2 linked regions of the Danio rerio genome follow. The protein of the gene in region 1 interacts with the protein of each later gene in a biochemical or structural test. Links are inferred from orthologs where the notes say so. Each region holds a gene or a part of one and is shown in the gene's direction. Other genes may lie near its edges.

Evidence for each region.
Region 2: of the proteins of amfrb (region 1) and herpud1, one has a biochemical effect on the other in vitro, tested with the Homo sapiens proteins (6 studies listed by BioGRID and IntAct, with this or other methods). The link is inferred for Danio rerio from reciprocal best matches to the Homo sapiens genes AMFR and HERPUD1.

What each region holds. Positions count from the first base shown.
Region 1 is NC_133182.1:35,358,154-35,361,815, forward strand, and holds part of amfrb (E3 ubiquitin-protein ligase AMFR-like), read left to right. Parts: intron 1-9; coding exon 10-174; intron 175-537; coding exon 538-693; intron 694-3,662. UniProt on the Homo sapiens protein: E3 ubiquitin-protein ligase that mediates the polyubiquitination of lysine and cysteine residues on target proteins, such as CD3D, CYP3A4, CFTR, INSIG1, SOAT2/ACAT2 and APOB for proteasomal degradation.
Region 2 is NC_133193.1:18,988,612-18,991,441, forward strand, and holds part of herpud1 (homocysteine-responsive endoplasmic reticulum-resident ubiquitin-like domain member 1 protein), read left to right. Parts: intron 1-734; coding exon 735-1,100; intron 1,101-2,016; coding exon 2,017-2,134; intron 2,135-2,830. UniProt on the Homo sapiens protein: Component of the endoplasmic reticulum quality control (ERQC) system also called ER-associated degradation (ERAD) involved in ubiquitin-dependent degradation of misfolded endoplasmic reticulum proteins.

The sequences.
Region 1 (3,662 bases):
TGCTATTAGAACCTCAAGGACAAAACCTGGAACTTTCTATTCAACAAGCTGATCTTTCTGTTTGGTGTGCTGAATGTACGGACAGAAAGAGAGATGGCCATGTGGTGTCTGTGCTTCTCTGCTCTTCTTTTTCTCCAGCTGTTGGCACAGCTCTGCAAAGATCGTTTTGAGTTTGTAAGTAAATATATTATTTGCAGTGGATGTCCAGATACCTAATACTGAAAATCCTGTGCAAAACACAGATGACCTGCCATGTGACCACCACCAAAGTCCATATCAATTTCAGGTTGGACATTATAAATAGCATTAGAGCCCTAGAACTCTAGTCTGTTTACTAGACAACTTCTCAACTTAGTTTCATCATTACACAAAATTATGCTGTGTTTTTCCCATGTTAGTGGTCAATTGGACAGTAATGTTGAATGGTTTTACTCCTGCAACAACAACAACATCATGAATGAAAACAGTCTTAGAGTAATTTATTGTATAATCTGTAGCCATCATTTGACTATGATGTTGTTTGTTTGTATTTTATAGCTCTCATCTTCCCCCTCCAGCACGGCACTGGGAAGCCATATGCATTTGTTGTTGGTGTTGATGTGTTTGTTTGTGTCCTCTGGGGGGCTCACCATCATATGCGTACTGCTGGGGTTTTCCTTTGGTATGCACACACTCTCCTTTATGGCAGTCGAAGTAAGTTTGTGTGCATGTGAACTTGTTTGTCTCAGCCTCAGACATTACACCCACAGACCGCTAAATGAATGCCTGAGCACATTTCAAGTTCTTCAAGTTATTGGTTGAATGAGACATTTGTTTTGCACTTTTTTTAAACGAATCCATTATGATGGCAATCCCCCCTCATATGAAAAAAACGGTTTTGTAACTGATGATTATCGCTTGCAATGGTAAATACTGTTTTACAAATTTAGTGTACAAAAGAACATACTATTTATTTAAACTATATGCAAGGAGTTTTCACATTGGTCTTTTTTTGTAGGGACATAAAATTGTACACCTTTAATTCCCAACAGAATGAACTGTGATAGGTTGCTGTAAAATATCAGATGGACTGTGGGAGGTCTTTAACCAATCTAAAATAGAAAAAAACAAAAAAAACAAAAAAAAATCTAAAATAGTCTAGGGCCTGTATTCACAAAACATTTTATCCTACCACTAAGAGTTCTCCTAAATGGTGGTGGTGTGGAGAGATCCCCCCCCCCATGATTGTTATGGCCATACAGAATAAATGCACTTTATAAATGCCTATTACATAAATAGCAGTGGAAATAACAGACATCTCAGTCAGAAATTTATTATAAAAACTTTGTATAGAGCACAATATTAAATTGTCATTTTAAAATAATTGTTCCAAAATAAAATTTAAAATAGTCCTATATTCAAATAATGAATTTAAAATGCAATTTTTAAAAAGCATAATAAAGAAGAACATTTGAAAAAAAAAAGATTTTTCTTGCTTTTATTGTTATAGAAATTAAATGAAAAATTTCTTTAGAAAATAATTAAGTAAACATATTTAAAATGTTTAAAAATATAAAATGTATGTGAAATATGTTTAACATTTTAGATAAATTCAAAAATTTCTATTTATAAAACAGATGTTTGCTTTTTTTGTGTATTTTAAAATACATTTAAATAAATGTTTAAAAAGAAAACACATTTCTTTTAATATGGAAAAACCTCTGTGATTAAGTCGATAAGTTGTTTAAAGCTCATTGTTGTTAAATATTTAATTAGGGACCGAGCACCGAAACGGTGCGTAGGCCCTATTGGAATTGCTCCGTTTATTAGGGACCGAGCACCGAACGGTGCAAGGCCCTATTGGAATTGCTCCGTTTATTAGGGACCGAGCACCGAACGGTGCAAGGCCCTATTGGAATTGCTCCGTTTATTATTATTATTCTTTTCCGGAATGAATCGCGATTTTGAGGGCCTTACCATGCCCGAAAACTCACGCAACTTTGCACACGCCTCAGAAGTGGCGAAAATTTACGTTTGTTATGGGCTTCGGAAGTGGGCGTGGCAAAATGACTCGACAGCGCCACCTAGAAAAATTAAACGGACGAGCCCCCGATGCACGAATCACGCACATGCACGAAAATTGGCACACACCTCAAACACGCCAAAACATACGAAAAAGTCTCTTGGAGTCATATCTGAAACCCAACAGGAAGTCGGATATTTTTGACTTCCTGCGGCGAAAAAGTGGCGTTTTTGCCATTTCCAGGCGTTGTATTTTAACGAACTCCTCCTAGGGATTTTATCCGATCGACACCAAAATTGGCTTTTGTCATCTAAAGGCCTTGGCGATGTTAAATTGCGAAGCTTTAGAGTTTTCGTCGATGGGCGTGTCCGTGGCGGCCTCGCAAACTTTGATGATTCGCCACAAAACAGGAAGTCATTATAACTCAGGCATGCATTATCCGATCTGCCTCAAAATTCACACGTTTGATAAGAGTCCTGACCTGAACACGTTTACGTGCCGATATCCAAATACAGTTATAGCGCCACCTGCTGGCCACAGGAAATGACATGTTTTACATCGTAACAATCTCCTCCCACAAATTTTTTCGTATCAGCACCAAATTTGGGTTGTGTTATCTGAAAGCCCTAGCGATGATATATTGTGAAGATCTAGAGTTTTCGCAGAGGGGCGTGTCCGTGGCGGCATGACAAACCTCAACGCTTCGCCATGGAACAGGAAGTCCTTATTACTCAAGCACACAATGTCCGATCTGCCTGAAACTTCACATGGTTGATAAAAGTCCTCTCCTGAACACATCCTCATAACAATAATGAAGTGGGCGTGGCAAAATGACTCGACAGCGCCACCTATAAAAATTAAACGGACGAGCCCCTGATCTACGAATCACGCACATGCATGAAAAATGGCACACACCTTAAACACGCCAAAACATACGAAAAAGTCTCTTGGAGCCATATCTCAAACCCAACAGGAAGTCGGATATTTTTAACTTCCTGCGGCAAATAAGTGGCATTTTTGCCATTTCCAGGCTTTGTATCTTAACGAACTCCTTCTAGGGATTTTATCCGATCAACACCAAAATTGGGTTTTGTCATCTAAAGGCCTTGGCGATGTTAAATTGCGATGCTTTAGAGGTTTTGTCGATGGGCGTGTCCGTGGCGGCCTCGCAAACTTTAACGATTCGCCACAAAACCGGAAGTCATTATAACTCAAATATGCATTATCAGATCTGCCTCAAAATCCACATGTTTAATATAAGTCCAGACCAGAACAAGTTTACATGCCGATATCCAGATACAGTTATAGCGCCACCTGCTGGCCACAGAAAATGTCATGATTTACAAAGTAATAAACTCATCCCACAAATTTTTTCATATCAGCACCAAATTTGGTTAGTTTTGTATCTGACAGCTCAAGCGATGATATATTGTGAAGATCTAGAGTTTTTGCAGAGGGGCGTGTATGTGGTGGCATGACAAACCTCAACGCTTCGCCATGAAAAAGGAAGTCCTTATAACTCAACCACACAATGTCTGATCTGCCTGAAACTTCACATGGTTGATTAAATTCCTCTCCTGAAGACATCTAAATGCCAATATTGAGTCAGTCATAGTGCCACCTAGTGACAGAAGGTAGTTTTGCTTATAACTCAGCTACA
Region 2 (2,830 bases), on another chromosome or scaffold:
AAAAACTGTGGTCATTGACAATTCACAAAATGGCACTGATGAATCACTAAGAACCATGATTTTAGCTAAAATATTATTTAACGGTCTACTTTTTTGAGGGGGGTTCCTACAAATAATATTGCAGTTTTAAAATGTGATTTATTTATTTAAAATGATCTAGGTTCTGCTTGTTTGAAAGGGTTTGCTGTTTGACCAAAAGTATGAAATAAAGAATCCCTATATATTAATTAATATTACAATTTTTCATTATTACAAAAATAATATTTAAGAAGGAACAAATGATAACTGATAACATTAAATAAGTGTAAAATTTCATTACTAATCTGATTTAATTAAATGGCTCTACTTTAATGTCTTTATTTTTTGAATGCTATTTGCTTTATGGTGAAAACCCTCAAGGCGTTTTCAATTTAGCATTATATATTAACTGAACTCAACACTTTCCATACAGAGATTAAGTTAAACAGCATTTACTGTAAAATAAGTTGCATTCTAAGCACAGGCTTAAAGATAAAGACCCCACTCAGTGTTTGTTTGCACAATTACTATTACTGTAAAACGCATTCTATTGGACTGTCCTGCTTTTAATGACAGCAGAAGGGTTTTTTTATTAAAGGAAAGTGTCAAAACTTTGACAATTTTGGTTCGTGTGTAATGAGGCAGCCTGGGCTCTAGTAAAAGATATTGAAAGTGTGAATGTACACTGTTTTAAATGCTGTAATGTGTTATTTCAGTCAAGCTGCAATGGCAGCCGCTGCCTCGGCTCCAATGACCACCCCTGCTGCCGCTTCCTCGCTCCCTGTTGGCCCTCATCAAGCTGCTGTACCTGCAGCTTTACCCAATCAAGGCCCCATCAATGACCTACCAGCCAATCAGAATGCCCCAGGACCTGCCTTCATCAACCCAGAGGGAGCCAATCAAAATCTCCGTATGAATGCCCAGGGTGGGCCTGTGGTCGAAGATGAGGAGGACATGAACCGAGATTGGCTGGACTGGATGTACACAGCATCACGATTGGGTGTCTTCCTAAGCATTGTATACTTCTATTCCAGCATGAGCCGCTTCATCCTGGTCATGAGCAGCCTGGTTATTATGTACCTGTAAGTTTACAAAACGTCATTCATTCATATAATATTCAATAACTCGTGTTTAGTGTTTTTGAGTATTGTACTAGTAAAATAGAAGTGGTTTTGAGTCACCAACTAGTTCACAAGAGTCATTTTCTGTATGTTTTTAATTTTATAAAATACAATAATAGACCAATCAATGTAATTTAAGGAACTGAAATACACTGGCTTAACTTTATTTCAATTCATCAGAAAGCATCAGTTCATAGGAATCATTTGTTTAGGAACTGGATTGCAGTAGTTATGCTCATACTTTTGTTTCTCTAAAAATAACTAGTTAAAAGGAGTGATATTTGAGGAATTGGTTGCTCTGTTTTGTTTTGTGGTGCCACTGAAGGTCTGAGGGTTTCAGTATTGTTTTGTCCTCGTTGGTGAAAAAAAAGACAAGTGCGAGATTCTTTAATTTGTAAGCACAGTTTCACTCTGTTACGCAACTTCAGGCAGTGAGCCATTTGTTGGTGTACAAACTCACACACGCATTCCTGAGCAATATGAAAGCAACGAGCAGTTAAGGCGAGCAGAAATTATCAGGCTCTCTCTGATCAGAAAGAAGACATATGCCTGCATTTGAGGGCCTTCTGAGACTTCTTTCGCTAATCTCCAACTGTTAGAACTGAGTGTTAAAAATCAACTTCTGATGCTTTATCTCTGCTAACGTGGCAGTTTGACTAGTTTAAACACCAGTGCGTGGCAGTCCAGAAATCATTAGCTTGATCTGAGGGTGTTCAGTGTGTGATGGCCTTAACATGCAAACTTGACTTCACCCTACAAAATAAACAATTAGCTCGGGCTGACTTTTTTTAAAAACTTGATGGTGTCATTTTAATGGAAATAAAGGCATGAATGTGTTTTTGTCATTTATTCTAATGATTCTCTTTTTCTGTTTCAGACACACAGCAGGCTGGTTTCCTTTCAGACAGAGGCCTCAAGCCAGGCCTCAAAATGAGCCAGCACCCGAGGTCAATCAGAACCAGCAGAACCAAAATGAGGACCAACATCCAGAACCCGTAAGTTTCTCTTTTTACCTTGACGACAGAAAAATGCTCACACTGTGCAAATCAGGGCAGAATGCGCATTTATCTGAGCATTTATATTACAATATTTGTAAAAGATATATTTATATTTAATTATTTTTATTATTATTATTTAATTGTTTTGTTTATTAATTATTATTATTTTTAAATAATTTGTTTTTAAAACTATTTAAAAAAATATTCATTTATATATTTATTTCTTTGCCATTTTTTTACATTATTGTTTTGTTTTTTATTATTTTTTTTATTTATACAATGATGGCCATGTTATTTTACTTTTGATTGTTTGATTTCTGTACTTAAATACTCCCCATAAAACCCATTTAGCAGTTTATTTAGCTTTTAATTTATTATAATTTTTGTAGCTCCACTGCATAAATAAAAAATAAGATCATTCCAGTCGACTTAAATTGATGTAATCTTTCCAAATAGAGGTATTTAAATCACCTAATAAAATGATATATATACTAAATATAAATTGCAGAAAACAAAATATCACAATGTCAGATTTTACCAATATTGTCCATCTTTGGTGTGTGGTATCTATGTGTGTGTATGTATGTATGCATGTATATTGTTCTGTGATTTATATTTTGCAATATGAATATAGTTTCATTAGATAACTTTAGAAAGATTACAGGGATTTAGATTGACAGGAATGATCAAGTT